Mytilus edulis: one gene and its partners. The protein of the gene in region 2 purifies or fractionates together with the protein of the main gene of each other region. This does not show direct contact. Links are inferred from orthologs where the notes say so. Each region holds a gene or a part of one and is shown on either strand. Other genes may lie near its edges.

The links.
Region 1: the proteins of cullin-3-A-like (region 2) and kelch-like protein 2 purify together in Drosophila melanogaster (affinity purification with western blotting; 3 studies listed by BioGRID). This does not show direct contact. The link is inferred for Mytilus edulis from reciprocal best matches to the Drosophila melanogaster genes Cul3 and kel.
Region 3: the proteins of cullin-3-A-like (region 2) and BTB/POZ domain-containing protein KCTD5-like purify together in Drosophila melanogaster (affinity purification with western blotting; 4 studies listed by BioGRID, with this or other methods). This does not show direct contact. The link is inferred for Mytilus edulis from reciprocal best matches to the Drosophila melanogaster genes Cul3 and inc.

The regions. Positions count from the first base shown.
Region 1 is NC_092352.1:43,244,680-43,252,163, reverse strand, and holds the start of kelch-like protein 2, read right to left. Parts: upstream 3,035-7,484; 5' UTR 2,916-3,034; intron 332-2,915; 5' UTR 290-331; coding exon 180-289; intron 1-179. Other genes in the region: interaptin-like, read left to right, coding at 3,184-3,198, 6,078-6,218, 7,058-7,151. UniProt on the Drosophila melanogaster protein: Component of ring canals that regulates the flow of cytoplasm between cells. May be involved in the regulation of cytoplasm flow from nurse cells to the oocyte during oogenesis. Binds actin.
Region 2 is NC_092346.1:79,309,611-79,317,091, reverse strand, and holds the start of cullin-3-A-like, read right to left. Parts: upstream 3,086-7,481; 5' UTR 2,875-3,085; coding exon 2,821-2,874; intron 1,902-2,820; coding exon 1,704-1,901; intron 1,413-1,703; coding exon 1,299-1,412; intron 723-1,298; coding exon 562-722; intron 17-561; coding exon 1-16.
Region 3 is NC_092352.1:64,454,209-64,461,256, forward strand, and holds the start of BTB/POZ domain-containing protein KCTD5-like, read right to left. Parts: upstream 3,067-7,048; 5' UTR 2,866-3,066; coding exon 2,668-2,865; intron 916-2,667; coding exon 807-915; intron 1-806.

The DNA of each region.
Region 1 (7,484 bases), on a different chromosome or scaffold from region 2:
CCATGAAAGTTGGTATCCCCTGTATAATAATGAATCCACACTATACATTGCTATATAAATTTAGCTTATAGTCCTTTCTGAACGAATTTAACATTCAGGAAAAGGTATAATTCTTTTTTACCACATTTCATTACAATTTCATTTTATGTTTAGTGATGCCTCGTAAGTTTTCAACTTACCTTCTCAGCTGGTTCAGAACCTCAAATGCTTTCTGTGTATGCTGCTTATGTTTAAATGCAGGACGCTCTCTACCTTGCAACATCTTCGGACGTACATCCATGGTTGCCATTATGTAACCATAAAATGGTCCAGCCTTAAACTACGAAATTAGCTAGAAAGGATAAGTTCAAATATTATATGTAAATAAATTTATTAAGCTTTTGCAAGCTAATAATAATATTGTAAAGGTCATGTCTTTTCTTTCTTGTGAACATCATAAGGTAAAGATATTATTTCGATTTCCCTGTTTACTTTTACTAGGCTTAGACATGACCATGATGACCTAAATAAAACATGACACAAAATCCTTACACTTGTATGCACTTCATGAAACCAAACTCATAGGAGCTGAACTTTTATTGTCAAAGTGAACAGTAAGAAACTTTAGGGGGGGAAGAAAGAGCTGAAAACAAAATATATAAATGAGAAAAGAAGGATTGTGTTCATTTTCAGGTTTTTTTCTCAAAAACTGCAGAATCAATCAATTGTCATGACTTATTACTCATCAAAGCTTGGAAAGGTACATGTATACGCACAAAAAATGATTGTGAAGTAAACTACATTATTATATCAATTAGTCTCTTTCTCTTTCAAACATTTCTTTTCATATTACCAAATTTGATTTTTGATTTAATAATATCTGTAAGAGTGATTTCCCCAAGGTTTGATATTGCTGTACATTTCTTGTTTGTCTATGAATCTTGAAATTACCAGTGCTTTACCAGCAGTAATTATAAAAGTATGTTTTTATATCACATTGAAAAGGCTGAACATGTTGAAGTGACATTAGTAAGGGTTTAAAGGATGTTTTATGCTACAAATTCAAACCTTAGTAACCATTTTTTGTTTCCTATACACAACAAAATAATTTGAGAACATTAATATCTTTTCTTCAAACTGCACATATATTTCTAGGTTTTATAACATGTGAGAATCAGATATCACTTGATATCAACTAAGTTGATCAATTTCATTACAATAATAAACGAGCCTTTGGCATGATCTTTATCATGTTTATTATGAGTATATTATTTACTATTTAAATTTTGTGAAAGTGGGAATGCAATCGACGCCATTTTTTATTTACCAGTTTGCATTCTGTGATGAAATGAAGGCAATTTGAGATCTCACAAACATGTTTAACCCCGCCGCATTTTTGCGCCTGTCCCAAGTCAGGAGCCTCTGGCCTTTGTTAGTCTTGTATTATTTTAATTTTAGTTTCTTGTGTACAATTTGGAAATTAGTATGGCGTTCATTATCACTGGACTAGTATATATTTGTTTAGGGGCCAGCTGAAGGACGCCTCCGGGTGCGGGAATATCTCGCTACATTGAAGACCTGTTGGTGACCCTCTGCTGTCGTTTTTTATTTTGGCGGGTTGTTGTCTCTTTGACACATTCCCCATTTCCATTCTCAATTTTAATTATAATGCATTTGAAGCGATAGATTACAAGTTCATGAAAATACGGATTTTTTGTGTTATTAAAATTTACTGTTACAAAATGATAGAAATTATCATAAATTAAGGAATGTATCTCCATCATGCAAAGCTCTGATTCCTTTCACGGATTTGGCTATACTTTTTGGACCTTTTGGATTATAGCTCCTCATCTTTTATATAAGCTTTGGATTTCAAATATTTTGGCCACGAGCATCACTGAAGAGACATGTATTGTCGAAATGCGCATCTGGTGCAGGAATATTGGTACCGTTAATTTTATTCCATACACTAGCATCACTAGTACTGCCAAACTCAGTTTGAATGACATTTTATTGATATTATCTGAAATTATTAGTATAATAGCGAGTATGTTTAAACACATGTCTGTTTCTGTATTGTGTTTTTATAAATGATGACTTGATAATTTGATCAGCTACAATAGACCACTTTCGAGTTCATCCTTCACCGGAAAAAACTCATCAATTATATGCGCCTTTAAGATGTCATTTACCAGATAGAGGGGGTCGCCTGTATCCATGCACTATTTACGTTAATCAAGCATCTTAGTGATCGTCATTGTGCAGGATTAACTAGAAATAATGGTTGTTCTGTAGGTACTTAATGACAATTCCCTAATGGCAGAAGTGCTGATTTTCAATTTTGAGAATTCAATTTGCCGAATAATTTGTACAATATAGAATTATAGTTTTCCAACCACTCGCTCAACATTGGAATGGATATGACTACGCCCCAAAACACACAAATGACGTTCACTAAAACCAGAGTTTTTGACGGAAATGCATCGAACTCGAAAGTTGTCTATTAGGTAGTGTCAAGTCCTGTCAATTTATATGTTCCTGCCTTAACTGGCTTAAGTCCAAATAATTATGATGTCTTGAATGGCTATTTTAATTTTTTATGTGACACCTTTCTACGATGTCCTAGCAAGGCGTCACAGAGTAAAATTAAATAGCCTTTCAAGACATCATAAGTATATAGACTAGAATTATTCTACCCATAATCTAGTCCAAATAATTATGACGTCTTGAAAGGCAATTATAATTTTTTTCTTTGACGCCTTACTCGTCAAAGAAAAAAATTATAATAGCCTTTCAAGACGTCATAATTATTTGGACTACCCATAATCATAACACAAACACTAACAGTAACAGACAGACAGACAGTAGCATGTCTGTTGTGTAGCTTAACAGCATTTCAAAATGTTAATTTGTTTGACAATGTAATGCATAAGTACCATGTTTATTTTATGGAGTATGTTTTTATGTTAATTTTCAGAAGAAGTCTGCAAATATGACTTTTTTCCAACTGTCATCTGTGTATTGACATTTTCTGCCTGGAACCGGAAAAGGAAGTGGTTCCGTAAATTAGCAGGTGCGCAAACTCGTAGCTGGTCGCCTACGACTTATTTACATATGGCGGCCAAGTGTGAACTTTCTCTTTCGGCAAAAATATTGAATTAATGAAATAAGGTTTATGTTGAAAATGGGAAGCTAAAAAACACCATGTCCGTTTTACAGGTAATTATCCTTATTTCCTCGCATTTGTGTACCTAATTGCATATTTAAATGGATTTATTTGGTGGTTTTAATTGATTTTTGATTGAAAATAAAAGGATGTGACATGTGAGGACTTGAAATTGAACCGAGTAGGTGATTTAACGGTAAATTATTGTACAAGTGAAGGATATCTAAATCATCTATTTGTATAAGAGAAATATCAAACAATAAATTAAATGAAAGAAAAATAAGTTAACATTATAATAATATTTATTATTTTATTAAATAGAATGAAAATGTTTATTAATGACAAATAAGATTGGTTTAAAATATGCTATTCCAGTTATATTTAAACAGAATTAAAATATGTTCTATATACAATTGATAACTGAAACTATAATACAATTTTATTCTTATAATATTTAGTCTATAATTTAATTACCAATGTCATGAATGTGTAATTAGGTGATCAGTATTTATCATGTTTACTTTGTTAGTGGTATTGATTGCAGTAATTAAATTAAACTTTGTCAAGTCCAGAATACTTATTTGACACACTGAAAGGGTAATTTTATTTGACATGTTGAAAGTGGTTCATCTAGATTAGTACATGTAGAATGATTAGTTTTTCTAAATGTTTAAGAATATGTAAATGAAGTTTGGGTTAGGAGCCAGGTTAAAGATAAAAAGTGTGATACCATGTAAACTGTAATTGTGTTGAGCTGTTAATGTGAATTTATCTGTGAGAAAACTAATAATTTAAGTTGAAAGATATTTGTATAAAAAGGATTATCAGTTTAGTTTCATATTCAGGAAGAGTAATAGATAACTAATTGTAAACAAGAAGAATGAGCAAGCGAAAGGTAACATAATACTCAAACAACATCTATTTAGACCCAGTTCTTTTATTGCATGATCTGTTGTACATAAAGATCAGTGAACCTATCTCAGATTAAAATCGTCTGTATTAGACTACACATTTCATATGCACAACCTTTTAAACTGCATGAATAAATGTGTTTGATACTAACTTGAATGTGTTTTGTTCACATATGTTGTGGGAAAAACCTATCACTGTTATATAATTGTTCTTTTTATCAATATTGGCATGGTGCATGTAGGTTCTTTGCCAGTTTAATTGAACTTTGAATTGTTGTCAACATTTTAATGTTTTTAAAAGTACAATTTTTCTCATAGTTTTTTTTTGCATTATATTTTTAGTCATGTTAGTTTGAAAAAAAGATGTACATGTGATTAGCTGCATATTTATAATTTTAACTGTATGTAGTGTTGTTTTAGGTTTCATCCATTTTCAACTGTCATCGAGTTAAAAATACAAATACTCACTGAAAGCACTATAAAATGGTATCACAAATATTTAAGATAATTAAGAATATGAAAAGATTTCAAATATAATGAACATATATACATGACATATGCGAAATGTAATGAAGGTCACATATTTTTTGCAAAAACAGTAAATTTTTATGTTATTGATGAATTTTATTGTAATTTCCATATTATGAAGAACAATAGTCATGATAGTCAAAGTACTCAATATTTGCTTCGTTTAATTCGATACTTGGTGATGGTACCATCAAAATTATACTCTGTATGTGTAACATCATATTTCTAGATCTTTGTCTTGTGTTTATTATTCATGTGTATGTTAATATAAAAGCATTTATAAATCTGGTGTTGGTTGATTCTTTTCCTCATTCTAACAAAAAAATTCTGGAAAGTATTTATCAATGACAAAAATGTATAGATATATAGATTCTACCACTGCATCGAGTGTAATACGATATGTATCCACTGGAGACAGTTAAATTTTCAAATTTAAAACGTGAGGCTTGCCCGAGCGTTTTAAATATTTAAAATTTAACTGTTGAGAGTGGATAAATATCGTATTTCACAAGATTTGGTGGTGGAATCTGTTTCTCTAATGATTTTCTAACATTATGCAGGCAAACTTATTCTTTCTTTTTGAATGATCTGCAAAAAGATGTGTTCTTTCTATGTGATGTCATCAGGCATTGTTGCCTTTTTTCATGCCGTCACAATAGGAATTTCAGAGGAGAGCAAGAAAATTCAACGTCATAATCGGATTTTAACCAATGAAGTACTGAGATCAAACGAACCACACATTGATTACATTTTTTTTATACAATGGGTGCAGAAAGGGATAAATTGACGAAGAATTAGAGAAATATATTATATATATACAATGTATCATGTATATATATATGTCGAATATAATCAAAAATAAATTTAGAACATGCATGCATGAGATTCAGGATCTTGAAAGTTATAAAAAAGAACCTTTCTTACTTATAAAATGATTGATATATATGTATAAATAGTGCAACAAAAAAGATTTAAATTATTTGAACAAGGATGAATAAATCACATACATGTATTTTATGTCATGAACATTATTACGTAACACACATTGAAACAGGAATGCAAATGTAAATGTGTATATGAACTGTACTTAAAACATTTAACAAGTAGAAAGAAACTGCCTGATAAAAAAAAATAAGAATGTATAACTTACAAAAATGACAAATGAACTAAGAAATTTAAGATGAAGACTAATTAATAACTGTTATATACGATTATTGCACTAGATTTGTGCATCTAATGAAAGTGATATGTTTACTGTTCATATCACAAATTTTATTTCAGTGAATAGGTCTCTTCATATGAACATGATGAAATATTGTTTTGTGCACTTTGTACAAAAATACACATATCACTATACAAGTGACATGCATTTTTTATAGCTAATTGTAACTAACATTTTGTTTGATAGTTAGCAGATATATGTACATTATGTACATGTAAATTTATGATCAAAACAAAAATTTGTGAATGTAAACAAGTCATTTGTATTGTAGGTTTATTTGAATTGGGCTAACTCAGTTTTAGCTGATATAGATAAAGAAGTAGAAGGGATATCCAGTATACAGGAAGGACAAGTGCTATGTCAGCTAATAGATCTTCTCTGTCCAGAAGCATGTCTTCTGCAGAAACTACAGGTATTGATTCAACAATTTTTGTTTTCCTTTTAGATTTGACGCTTTATATATATGTTGAAAATGTCAAATAGTCTTGTATATTTGAATAATGCTTAGAATTGTAAAAAAAATCATCAGAAAAGAGTCTTTAAAAGCCATAAAAATTAAAGAAATTCTATGAAAACTTATTTCCTGGCTAATAAATCAAAAAGTTGTTTGTGAATAAAAATAGATATTTATTGAATTGGCAGCAAGACTTGCATGACTTAATAAGAAAATTTAATTTACATGTAGATCTAATTCTGGGAATGTCACTTAAATGCTACTGATTCATGTGAAAGTGATCTCTTCTGACAAATCTGCTAAGTATAGCCCATTATTAGCTCTTTACCTGGAAACATATTATTTAATCAATAGAGGCTTAGTATGTCGGTACAATTTATAGATTTAATGCATGAAGAAATTGCAATAAAATCACTATCTGCTTCATTATTTTGATTAAGAGAAAATTAACAATTAACATGATTAATAGACCTATAGATGTCATGGTCAGCTGAAATATTGATCATGATATTTTATCACATATACTGTAAGTTTGATACTAAAATGGCTTGACACATACTATTTGTTAACAACTTCATGTAGAGGTACACACATGCATAGAGAATAAGTCCAGGACCAATATTTATCAACATTTAGTCCAAAAATTTAACCAAAAAAGAGTGCAAATTCATATATCAGGATTCAAAGCTTATCAGAACATTAAACACTTTATACTAGTAGATAATTTTTGCTTCTATGAAGTTCAGATGGAATACACAAATGAATACTATTTTAATGTTTACATGGTTATATTACAGGCTTCAGGGACTTCCCAGTTACCAGAAATGTACATACAGACAGCCTTAGACCACATGAGGAAGTATGGCATCAAACTGAACTTCTCAAGCCAGGGTAAGAGTAGTTTTATAGAGGGAGGTCTGGGGGGTTGGAACACCCTTTTTTTTGGACGATCAATGCATTTGAATGGGGTCATATGGTTGGACCCCCCTTTTTTTAAATGGCTGGATCCACTACCTTTTATATAGGCATTTCTAGCATATTTTATAAAGTTCTGTCAACCTGTTTAGCCCGAACTGTTCTCAGTTAATGAGGAAAGGCAGAATTGTGGGTACAGAAATTAATTTATTGGGAACCCAGCTGGTTGTCCAATGGCCCAAATAAGTCCTAAAAATAGACAGATTGAATTAAATTTATTTCAGACTTCATAGAGAACAAGAAATTGAA
Region 2 (7,481 bases):
ATTTTTAACAGCTCCCCTAAAAAAAACATTAAAACAATCAACATAAAATATATTTTGGCAAAATAAAATAATAATATCCAATAGGGACTTACCGTCCCAATTTTTCGAGTGAGACCCTATTCTATGAGGATTTCTTCATAAAAAAACTATTCTAAAAACATAACAGTCCTTGTAACTTCTCAAATACATGTACATGTAACATGCAACATAGTTGAACAAAATCAGGTTGATAATTATAACTTTGTCCATGGACAGATTACATGTGGCTAACTTTCAGTAAAACCATAAATTAAACAATTCTGGAACTCAACAGACAACTGAGTCCACATCAACAAAGTTCAAGAACAAATGACTATATTTTTCATGATTAAAAAATGGCTGATAGTTACTTGTTTTAAAGATATGTCATTTTGAGAACTAAGAACATTACAAACTTCAATTCAAATGCATCTGCCTTCCCTTTAAGGAGGGAGTATGATGTCTTTAATTGTATATAAAGAGTTTTTAACTAATGGATTTGTGTCATTATCTTTGCTGGTGACTATATTTTCACTAATTTACCTGTCGACCACCTCTCCTCTTCTTTCTTTTGCTACCATTTCTAACAATGTACTGCGGAGATGGTCCCTTATCATTGGATGTCTTACAACCTTCTCTCTAAATATCATCAGTCCAAGATTGTACACATTGTCTACATTATTTTGTTGAACATACACTCTGTCCTAAACCCAAAATAAATTGATATTTATAGGAAAATTATAAAACTTTCGATGATGTCATGACAATATCTGCCATGATTTTTTTATTCATGTAAAAAGTTATTTGCAATGTCTTAAAAGTATACACCCACTGGTTATTTATCATAAAGAAAAATCCATGCTGAGCTGGTAGAATGATAATTCAAATAATCATCAAACAAGACATGACTGCTCTGCTTATCTTAAAATAGCTTACACTGATGAACTCACTGACATCATTTTGAAATTCCAATCGAAATAACACATTATCTTTTAGATAAAATTGAGAATAAAGAGTCTGAGTAAAATGTAACAAGATATTCCATGACCAGTGTGTATGATAAAAATTTAGCATATTGTCAAACAGGAAGTGACTGTGTTGCAGATCTGAAATAAGGTTACAGTCAACTTCAAAACTATGAAGCATGAACAAACAGCTAATCCATGCTTAATACACAAGTGGAGTTATTAACGATAGAGAAATGGAAAACAAGTTGTTTGCAGTCTTTCATTAAAATACACTCTGACAGTGATTGGGATATAATAATTATATATACCTACCATATACATCAGTATGTCTCTTATCATAACCATTGATGTTTGGTGGTCATTCCATGCACTGTTTAACGTTTGCAGAAAGTTATTGATCAATGCTGAAAGAACATCTTCTCTTATCTGTTAATATAGACAGATTATAATTTAATAACTTTGTTTACTTACTGTCAATGATAAATTTAATAAAAACACCATCTAACATCATCAATTTCCAAATTTTCATGAAAAAAGCCAGGGGGAATTGGATTTTAAGTTTTATACTAGCACTCATTTCACAAAATGTTATCTTTTAATTTTGGGAAAGATATCTTTTATGAACACACTGTTATGAAAACTTGCTAGAATAATGGTCCAGTATTCCAGCTTGAATAAGACATATATTTCTCCTAACCAAATATTAGTATTACTTGCCTTGTCAACTAAATGATCTGTGACAACATCACGCAAACCAGTGTATAATTTTTCTCCATGTTTATGCAATACCATGGTATAGGCATTTCTATACAACTCCTCAAAACTAAGTCCACTGTTATTTTTTTTCTGGATTTCCTGAATGGCATTTTTCAGCAATGTCCAAATATTGTTAACATATTTTTCATCCATTGTCATCTAGAAAGAATAAAGGAAATATTTAAACTTAAAATTGAATATTGATTACATAAAAAATATGTCACTTCAGGGATGCAGTAGTTAGTTAAATCTGTCATGGGACTTCCATCACCACATTACCAAAATGTAGGTACAGTAATTTCCAACACATGTTGAGCCAACGTGTGAAAAAGTTTTATAATGCACAAAATATTTTGAAAATTAAAAACTTGTGAGATGGTCACCCTCCCTCAGTGGCAGGAACATTAAAATTACGTACTTACAGAACATAAATTATTTCCATTATACTACCCTACAGAATGATGATTCTGAAAGTGCTGAAAACTTTTAATAGATCAGGATACAGACTCGCTATCAATCTGGTTATGATACATAAAGGCGTACGAGAAAGACATGATTCTAGAAATGATGTACTATCGATAAGTTCAATAACAGTATTGTGCTTAATTTTTAAACTTATCCAATTTTGGTATGAAATTTTCATTAAAAGTTAAAAATGTTTACAAGATCTAATTGATATGTCATAATAAAAATGGGTCTCAAAGTTCCCCTCAAAATTCACTAGCAAAGAGAAAGTCCAGAATATGGCAGGACTGTGGGACAGCTTGGCACACAACTGTCTTACTCATAAAATGTGTACAATTACAGTTGATGACAGTTTAATATATCTTAATTGGTTGTATTTAATTGTCGATTGAACATTCTAACTATAGGCCTACTAGAAGTCCTCATAGAGTTTCCCATGCAGCAGACGTCTTTATTTACATTCATTATGCCACTTCCGTCCGCCATTTTATTTCATGATCCAAATATTATTTTTTTCTCGAAAATAAGTGTCTACAAGGATTTGCAATAAAAAAATACGTAATTTTGGTTTAATGATATATGAGTGGGACTTTCTATGTGGTCTTATACTTACTGGAAATGCTCTGATTCGCATTTTTGTGTCTTTGCGAGGCTGCTGTCGACTCATTTTCCAAATATATTAACTATAAAATAAAGAATGGAATGGGTAACCAAATAAACTGAAATGATAAAAGCTGATTTGTGAAATTCTTAGAAGACTAAGTCAAAAGAGTTTTGAGTCTCTGAATGTGTTCCTCAGGCATTTTCGCCGTTGACTTTTAAACCATTCTCGATGAAAGCCAAACAACAGATCTTCATTTAGTCATTTATCCGCAAACAAAAATAGATCTAAACAATTATTATGATTCGTGAGTGTTGGTCGAAATCAAAGACTTTCTTTAATATTTCAACATTTAGAAATAAATTGTTTTCTTGAAAAATACGGTTTGTAGTTCAATGTAGCAACGATTTAAAAATATGCACATTGATTTGGGGTTAAGTGGGTCATCGTCAATAAAGTATTAAGACTGGTTGTCTGCTCACTGCTATTGTATCATCTAACCAGACTGGTTTCCCTATTCATCTGAAATTGCGAGCAGCAAGTTTTCTAGTCTACTTTACAATCCAATTCAATCTAAATTCTAAATTCTAACATGGTATGAGTAGAAATGTAGTTTTTTGGAACATGAAAAACTTTAAAACTAGTTCAAGCTAATGTACTGATTTTGAGAATACCTCTGTCAATCATGATTGAAAAATTATATTTAATATTATTATTTTTATTTCTTGAGAATTTCATATATCTTTTTTCCAAATATTTTCAAATATTAACTCAATAAAAAAAAAACACTTGAAGTAAATGTCTTTTTACCAAATTCAACTTATCACCGTTTGTTCTTGTTATGAGAAGCACGACAGGTGCAGCTATTGGAACAGGAAAATGCTTATCCTTACGAAATCATGATACCGATTTTACAAGATTTTGGTGAGGTTAATGTTGCACAATTTAAGTTTTGTAGCGTTATCAAATTTTCTTCTTTTTTTTTCGGTAATGGTAATGTCTTCAAGTTTTTTTTTTTGTGGTTTTGAATTGCATATCATGGTCCTATGTGCTCTTTTTATTTGTTCACGACTTAAGTTTTTTAACAAAATTTGACAACTTTTAGTACTGTAATAAAAATCGGGTAAAATATCTGTGGAATATGCTTAGTATTTTACACATACAAGTTTTTGGGTTTATTTTATTTTCGACCAACATTCTTAACAGTCCGATGATAGTGCAAACAGAACATTTTTAACATTTAATGACATATTCATTGAATGCTATGATATTTTGCTACCGTGTTTAGAGGAAATGCATAGTTCTTCATGGATAGGAAGTTCAATAATTTGATCTTGATTAATTGTTTAATAGGAGTAAAAAAAATACCCCTCCTTTGATGAAAAAGTTACAATTCATTATTTTTTTTAAAAGTGTCAATGGAATGAAAATAACTTAAAACGGAGGTATAAGCGCCAAGAGTTAAGTGATATATATGATAGAGCATTGCACAGAAACAACAAAATAAAACATTCTATAAGCTGTTACAGTAGTTCTAAGCGACCCAAAAATTCTGACACATTTAAGAAATAGTTCAGATACGTTTTCCTTTACACCGTATGACCAACTTGATCGATTTATTTCTAAAGATTAATGGCATTCCGAAGAGGGTTTTTTTCTTAACAAAACTTCTTAAAAGTCATAGTAGAAACGGACCATTTAACGAACTATTCTTGAATGGAATGATATTCTGCAACTGTGGATGGAGGAAATGTTCAACATGCAGGTCTGGACATTTCCACAATCTTAAACAATTGCAGTACTGTTCCAGGTCCCTCATCCGATCCCTTCAACTATCGTGGAATCAGTTTTGTAAGCAATTTCGCGACAGTATCTTTACGTCGAATTAAAATACACATGGCTATTGATATGATAGTAATGATAATATCAATGATGCGCAGTTTATATTTCTATCGAGTTGAGCATTGTATCAATGCGATTTACTATATAAAGAGCTATCTAAAAGACAATGTTTATTTACTTCATTGATTCATTTGATGCCATATCAAGACACAATTTATTGATGAAATTGTACAGATTGAGGCAAATTGGTTACATAACTAAAATCAATCGGTCTTATGCTGGGGGCAAATACTCAAGTCTCCTTTACCATTTCAAGTGTATCTCATGCATGTATATACCATGATTGTTTATATCGAAATTCACATGCAATGACAATTCACCTTATGAATTACAAGATACGTTATCTGTGTCATTGTTTTTGCATATGTTCGTCAATGGAATGATTTTGTTTTCAATAGTTTTTTATAGTTTGCTCTTATCATGCTGTACTGTTACATCACTATCACAGGGGATATAAGACATTTAGGTGAAGTGCAATTTCTGCATTGATGTATGTTGTATTCCGTAAAACTTTTTGTTATTTTTAATTTGGGGTAGGTTGTCTGATTTGACCGCTAACATACGACACCATTCTTTCTAACGATTGGAATAAAAACATTTGAAAACATCACGTTATTAATTTCTTGCGTCCGAATAGCTTTTCTGGATTTACCTTCATCAGGAAGGCTCAAAGCCAAACATTTGACATCCGAAGATGTATAAGTACCGAAACCGTTAAAGAGCTATATGTCAAAAGGTGGAGTTATCTGTCTGAATTCGGACTTTGTTGCCTGGATGTCTTTTGTAGTTTTTTTTCTGTTGTTGGGTTATTGTCTCATTGACGTATACCTATATAAAATAGCCATGCATTCTTTTCATAGAAAAATAAAACGCTTTTAACATCCCCAGTGACATACAGATTCTTTTCTTATTCGAAACTTACATAATTCTATTCATCGCAAGAACAACAATAAACTTAATTAAAAGTATCACAGTTATTTATTAGGTAAGAATGTAAGACAGCACATATATACATGTATTATAAAAATAACAATCTATGATAAGAAGTAATGGTTTACAAAAATAATTACTTGTAACTACTAGTTATTCAGATAAATGAACTTGTCAGTCATTGCAGAAAATAACATTAAAAGAAGTGTAAGATTTCTTTTGAATTTGAATTAAAGTTAACTGGTTTTTTTTTCTTCACTTGTACAATTGTTCATGGCTGTCAACTTTGAAAGACAGAAAAAAAAATAATGGACTTGAATTATGGTTGTCATTTTTTTTTCTTTTTTGTTGTTGTTGATTGTTTGTACACTACTGAGATTTATACGGAATATAACCATCTATTATATATGCGATACTTTGTATGGCCACGCTCAACAGTAAATATTGTGTTTGAAAATTGTGAATTTTGGAACTGAAAATGACAGTGTAAAATCCGGCGTATTATTGCTTCTTCACTTCCTAAAATCATATTCTGATGAAACATTGTTCACGTTAAAACCAAAGCACACCCACAAATTAATTATATACCAGTCAATACAATTTTACTGCGCAAAAAACATGTTTGCCATATATATAAAAGAAGAATGTCATTACACGGTTTTGGAATATAACAATGATTTGATCGAGGATCAGAAACCGGTAGGAATTACAAGGCTTATCGAGCATTTGTATTCCGTTTCGTACCCTACATGACTGGCACACTAACTACACAGGAACGTTAAGAAAAGGTCTGTGAAATAACAATATGATAACAATGTAACAGGACGGAATAAATATTAAATACTAACCTATCAATATAACAATATGCATTGAATAATATTAAAAATACAATTAATTATAAAAACACAATTATTATTAACAACTTTTTAAATGATTGAGCGCAAATCAGTGATTAAGATTAGTAAGCAGCAGATTTGAAGAAATTCGTTGAAAAATATTACGTGAATTTTAAGTTTTTCCACAATTATTTCAGTCACAACAGGAAATATTTGGTGTTACAAGTGAAAAATGATTCCAGATTCATCGGATCAAGTTGCGCAAAATTGAAATCAGTAGTGGTAAAATGGAAAATTAATCAATTACCTCTTACAAATATGTTTATATTTTTACTTGATTGAAATAAACGCAGAAGTCAGAAGTATAAACTGATGTAATGGAGAGGGGGAGAATTCAATATTGGAATTGCTTTGTGATGGAAAGCCACATACATAACCTTGTCATTAATATTCAAAAAATCATAAAAAATATATGTCTATAGCAAAGTAGCACTTTTGATACGAAGACCAAACAACATAGCATTTATAAAAGCAGTCTCTACAAAACATTCACTTCAATGTATCTACATGTATACAATGTTCACAATATACAATCTGCCCGCTTTAAACCCGAGACAGTTATCATTGGTTAACATTACACCTTTTTTAGGTTTTTGTCATCAACCAAAATAAAAACTACAAACAAAATGTCTGCTGGTTGAATGGATTTGAATGCATTCTTTGCATGATAATAGCTTGTTTCAATATCAACATTTCTGTTTTGTTGTTGCCTACTACACTTAAGGATGCTTCATCCTCTAATTTAGATATGCTGCAGGAAGTGTCACTTGTCAACTATTGTAACGCGTGACTTTGCTGTCACACTGAGAATGCAAATAAATCAAAATGAGATCGCCTAAAGTAAGGGGTAATTTAAATCGGACTAGCCCCCTTTTTAAAAGATCCACACTGTCTACGTTTAACTCAGATAAAATAATTATGCTCGAATAAAAACGCATCAAATAT
Region 3 (7,048 bases), on a different chromosome or scaffold from region 2:
CTTGTGGAACAATTTAAGAGAGATCTGTACCCTTACATACTAGTTATTGTACAGAAACTAGAAAATGATTGTTTTAGCTCCTTTTTGGCCCTTAATTCTGAAACGGGTGGTACCATATCACCCAAAATCAATCCCAACCTTCCTTTTAGTGGTATTCAACTATTGAACCTTCTGACAAAAATTTCATAGAGATCCATTCCCTCAAACTTAAGACATTGTCAAGAAATGCGTCTTTGGACAAAGCTGACTATGACATCATAGCATTATACAAATGGACAAAATATTCGCGGTCTTATAAAAATTTAAAAACAACAATGAGGGATGACGACGCCAAGTGATGAAGAAAAGCTCATTTGGCCTTTTAGGCCGGGCGAGCTTAAAAAGGGTTAATGCTGATTGTCTAACTTGTCCAAGACATTACTGATATATAACTACATGTATAAGTAACTTTTTTTTTGTTCATTAATTTTTTTAAATATCTTAAAGAAATTAATGAAGGCTTGAGAGCAAATGCAATGCAATTTTCAATATAATTAATATTTCCGTGGGGCATAACTCTTTTAAAAATAATTTATGGGCACTGGTTTTCAAACTTGTCAAGAGACACTGATGTGTGAGTGATTGTTGATGTTAACCAATCATTACCAATAAATTAAGTTTTATAAAAAAATCTAGCAAAAAATGTACAAGTGCGAGTCATAACACATCAATGCTTGTTATATTATGCCTTTATTCTGTCATGACATTGAATCCAAATAAACTTAAAAATTTGTAAACAGGAAACATTCAAAGGCTTACTAACTAACCCTCTTCTGCTAAGTCTTTGTTTATCACCAACTTTCCATGTCGTAAATAATTTAAAACAGGTCCAAAGTATGTGGGATCTCTGTCTATCAAAAAGGCTCCATTTTCATCCTACAAAATATGAACTAAGTTAATTTCAATTAACTTTGTCTTATTTGAGACATATACTATTACCGATTAGACTTATATCCTCAATGTGTTATAAGTGCTGCATTTTTCATAAATATATGCCATGTGTCAAATGCAGATTCATAATTATTGATATTAACCCAAACAAATATCTCTCTCATTTGAAGGGTAGTTACTCATTTGTCTGCTAACTATTCAATGCTGGTTTTACATTCTTCTTCTTCTACTTCTTTCAAATACTGCCCACATTGATGAATATTTTGGCAAGTTGCGCATGATTAAATAACAGGTTAAGAACAATTGTTTTGCTGATTTAGTTTGAGATTTTGGTCACTTGAGACTGGAATATCTCAAGAGACTTAAGCTGTGTGAATTTTTGTGTGTTTCTTTATTCTTCATTGGCTAGAGGTATAGAGGGAGGGTTGATGTTGTCAAAACATGATTAACACTGCCACATTATTGCACCATTTATTATCCCTAGTCAGGAGCCCCTGGCCTTTGTTAATCTTGTATGTTTTCTTAATTTTAGTTCATTTATAAACATGTTAAGAAGTTCAGTATGATGTCTATTTTTACTGGACTAATACACATTTTATTTTAGGGGCCATCTCGATAACTTAAGGAGAGCAAGTTCTTCTTTTTCTGATATACAGTTTCAGTTTCATTTATATTGAAGTTTACGAACTGTTGCATGTGCATTAAAATTATAATTGATCAAAAATTTATTTTTAAATTTGTAGAATACTTGAATATTTTGAATGGTGATATTTACATAAAAGAAAGACAACAATTGATTAAAAAATAATTACATTGGTGTACATACATTTATATAAATTTAATCTATGTTGTGGAGAACAGTTGGTGTGAAATAATCTCTAAATGTTTGATATGCTACAACAAATTGTGGTAACATGTTCCATTGATTTAATGTTTGTGGAAAAAATGACCATTTGTATCTGTCTTAGAGATGGATATTTGCCGAAATGATTTGGTATGTACTTTTCTTATTCCATTATTGTAGAATAATCAGTCTAGTTTTGAGGCAGCGCACAAGTGAGGGCCATTGGCATGATTGGAGATCATTTAACATGGATGTTACACTACTGGTTTTGTGGTAGTTGTTACATACAAAACGGGCCACATGCCTCTGTACCATTTTTAGTTAATGTTTAGTTGATCAGAGTTCTCACTAAGTATTTTTGAAGGCGAGTCCAGGGACTCGTCATTTTTGTCCATGGTGAGTCCCAACAGTAAGAAGATATTTTTTTGCAATATGATTTATCATTTTATAAAGGCTCCATGACATAAAATAGCAATGACATGACATTAAACTCAGATTTCTTTTATTCTATTGTGTGCTATAAAATGATGATATGTGCTTCTTCTGCTTCTGCCTGATAATGGCCACAATCAACGATGCTGATTATTATAAAATATTTCAATTTTGATGCATCTTTGGACTCACCAGTTTTGAAAATGGTGAGTCCAGACAGATTTTCATGAGTCCTGAACTCGTGGACTCGCCTTAGTGAGAACCCTGGTTGATAGAAATAAATTCAAAGACAAAGTTTGTCAGGGGGTAAATTTTTTTTGGCAGAGATGTCATGGATTCAAATGCACTAACTTGGAATAAATAAATTTAAAATTCTTGATTATTTAGAACCGTCTACTGTGGAAATAGTTTATTTAGAAGTCCCCCCCCCCCCCCCCCCCCACTCTTTTCAATGAAATAACCTTGTCCGTATTTAAATCTGGTTCCTCCTGTACAAGTCTATACAGGAATGACTTAGGGTCTCTACACAATGTCGTTCTCGTTGACATAAAAGTTGTTCCGCCAACGTTTAACTTCACCCATTCGCTAATTCTGCCTTGGCCAGATCCAGAATTTTGTGGTACAGTGGTGCTGCAAGGTTGAGGCCCATTTTCGGCCATGGTCCATCAATTAATTATTTCATCGATATGCAACCCCAATGAACCCCAATAAGTACTATTGTTTGATTTTTTTTAGCTTGTACTAGGTTTGTTTGGTGCTATTTTTGACACGAACAGAATGAAACAGTTTCCATATTTTCATTATAATAAAATCTCGTCAAATTCGCGTGCATCATTGTTAAACTGGTGCTTGCTTTACCTGCCTTTACACAGCGGAATCAGGAAAACTCGTCCCACAACCAAATCGCGACACTATCCACCAACTCGCCCCACTTTCAACTAACTTGCCCCACTCTTGTTAAAAACTCGCCCTTAATATGAAAAAAGATAAAATCTCATTCAAATCAGTCATAGCAACTTGACCCATTTATGAAAAAGGATAAAATCTTGATAAATTTAGGCATTTCAACTCGCCTAACTGACAGAGACATAACGGTTAGGCAGTCCTAGAATGAGTATAAACGTCACCTGGTCACAGTACCAAAATTGCACCGTGAACCCATCTTTTAAAAATGAGAAAAATCAATAGTACTGAAGCATGGACGAATGTCAAGTTGTTTTAGCTATTTGAACAAATGGAACAAAACATCTTTTTTTTCAATTTTTAAGGATGTGAATTGAAGCATAGATATATGCAATTTGGGTACTCCTCATTGCGTAATCCTGGGGGTCAGTTTAAATCCATTTTTCTATGACTTAATCATATATCATGCATATATTCAAAATTAAATTTGTGTATTAAACTTTATAGTAAATAAGGATACATCTTCAAAATAAACACAGAATGGAAACTTTTGTCAGGATCATAAAAAATCGTAGAGGAAAAAACTGTCAAAATAGGTGTAATTTGGGTTCTCTCACGCAGAGACATGTATACACATATGTCTCTGGGGTCCGTGTATCACGTATCAATTCAAAGTTTTAAAAAGTTTTCAAATTTTAAATTTTTGGAATTTTGATTAAAGTTTTTTTTTTAAATATCAAAATTCCAAATTGTGTAAAAGTTTTGAAATTTTGAAATTTTAATCAAATAATTAAAATATTAAAATTCTAAATATCGTTAATAAGTTTGATATAGTTTAGAGATTTGATCAAACTTTAAAAATACTAAACCTAACGTGCAATTTTGATTATTTCCCTTTTTGTGAAAGTTTTTTTTTTTTATTTTTTATTAAGATATCAAAATAGAAAAGGGGCGAAAAGAGGTGTACCTGTAAACACGGCTCTGATTATAATCATTCTTAGTTAGGAATAAATAGCACGAAATATATCGAATCATTTTTAATTACAAAATGAATAATAAAAAGAAGTCAAAACATATTAGACATCACATGGGATAACAGTATCCTGAAATTTTAAGGTTGTTCATCTATTAAACAATATTTAAACCTATTTAAACCGGCATCAAATAAGTTGATTTAAATCTCTTATATAAGGTTATCGTTTGAGATATATAATTCAGGGCTATTTGGTGTCCCCAGTGCCCAACATTTAGAAGTAAAGGTGAAAACTTACCAACTCGCAGTAGGCCAAATAGTATTATTCGCCTTTTTGACGTTCCTGATGAAGGTAGATTCGGAAAAAGCGCTTCGGTCGCATGCAACTTTAACGTTTTGTTTTTGTTTTTTATCGATTGCATGCCGATAATATATTGTCTTTTGTGATTGATAAAGCATTTCAGTTCCAAGTAATAATACGGAAGAAATACTTAATTTATGGTGTCTCAATGAACGTTGTGCTAGGCGTGCTTCAGCTGGTCCCAAGACAAAAAAGTGTACTGGTTCAATGATGGTTGAGTGATAATAGACGTCATACTAAACTCCGAAATATAGCAATGACCTAAAGTTACAATCATACAAGACTTAAAAGGACAGAGGCTCCTGAATTGGGACACATGCGGCGGGGTTAAACATGTTTCATGAGATCACAACCCTCCCCCTATATACGGTACCTGTAGCCAATGTAGAATAAACAAACACACAGCAATACGCAAAGTAAAACGCATTTTGAAAGAAATACAAGTCCTATGTCAGAATTGGAAACAAAAGAAACTAATAAAAATGACAATGATAATAAATTAACAAAGAACTACTATATTAAAGCTAGCAGTTACTGACATATATGCCAGCTCCAGACCTCAATTCAACTAATTGAAAGATTATATCTTCATCATATGATCAATAACAAGCACAATCCCCCTCCCCCTGTTGTATTTATTGCTTATTTGTCCCTGAACATTCATGAAATATTTGTCACTAGCAACCAAAAATCGATAATTTGCTGTTTACATACAAATTACAAAGAAACTTAGGATTCAACTCCCTCGGACAAAGTAGCCCTTTATATGTTCAAATTCACTTTGGCCAAACACCTCTTCAGTTGTTTCGGTTCTTATATTTACTTCACTTTCAAATATTCAGTTTTCAGCGTTCCGTAGGTGAATGCTTTACTTAAATTCAGCGTTTTACATTGTACTGGTTTTTCGAGAGCAACATTGGTGTATGGCTAAGAATGGAAATTCCATCATGCAGCAGACAGCGTGGCATTCTGACTTGACGTACCTGTGCTCTTTCACTTTGGTCATAGTTGATTGTCGTACGATAACTTAAAAATGCACAAATAACGAATACGGAACAATGATATCCCTTAATACAAAAATCCCTTTCCCTTTTATTTGCTATTTAAACACAGTGGTTTATTTAGGGCCCCTAATAGAGATACGTATATGATAAATGAATATACCTTTTACAAGCATCAGTCCAAACGACGTTACGTTGTCTAAGGGAGCAATCATATGTACTTAACTTTAAAAATGAGAATATAGTTGTTTTGTCGAAGTGAGAAAAAAATTCGTGCCAAGCACTAACAATTTTATTAAGTTTTTCATCGCTATTAATCATATTATTTGGTTCAAAACACTATAAGGCATGGGGAAAATCTGGATTCAGAATATTTTTTGTTGTCCTCTGCTTGCACAGATTTTTTCCCCCGTCAAATTGATGAGTCAGAATATTATATGTACCATAATTGAAGCCCCTCGTGGAAGTATCCAAGTAAAAAAAGTGTCCCCTTGGTGTCCCTTTGGTGACAATATTTATATATCGGATTCCTAAAAAGATTACCATTTATCGCTGATATAAACTTTTGAAAATTGAAAATTGCCGACACCTACAAATCGATAGGTGGGGGCTTAATTAATGTACAGCGACAACTATTACATAGAAATGAAGGCTGGAAATAATGTTTATGGTATACGTTTATATGATATGAATGTGTTCAGATTTTACTAAACAAGAACGATAAGTTGGATGTTAATGTTTCAAGGTCCGTGTAACACTTCAATTCAAAGTTTTAAAAAGTTTTGAAACTTTAGATTTTTGAAATTTTGATCAAAGTTTTAAAACATCAAAATTTCAAATTCACATGTGTTAAAAAGTTTTGAAATTTTGAAATTTTAACCAAATTATTAAAATATTAAAATTCTAAATATCATTTATAAATTTGATAGTTTAGGAACTTTATCAAACTTTTAAAATATTAAATCTAACGTGCAATTTTGATTATTTCACTTTTTGAAAGTTTAATTTTTTAAATTTTTGATTAAAATATCAAAAATAGAAAAGGGGCGAAAAGAGGGATACCTGTAAAAATTAAATCCGTATACGGAGTTAAATTTGCTGTTGAGGCTGAATTTTCCAGGTTTTATGTACATGGAACAGCAGTTTTGTTATCAATGAAGAAAGTAGTTGTTTAAGGTCAATCTTATGTTGGGCGTAAGCAGTCTTTAGTAGTGTATAGATAATGTTGTATTAATGTCATCTGAAATCCCCATTTAAAATGCAAAGACTGGTGAGAATATATCAACATCAACAAGTGCATGTAGATTGCCGAGTGTAAATGAGTTTATAATATAAACTTTATATATATATATTTTTCAAATTACTGGCATTATTTCTAAATTTATTCTAAAACTTAAGAGAATATTTGAAGAAAAAAAAACAAACAACAACAAAACAATTTGACAGAATACACAGCACAGCAAGCTGTAAATTTTGGGGAAAAAAGGGCACATTTTGCTATATCTGGCAATGAGACAAAAGCATTATCAACTAATTAATATTGATATTTGTTTTATAAAAAAAAGTTAACGTAACATTATTAATATATTTCGGAAATCAGAAAT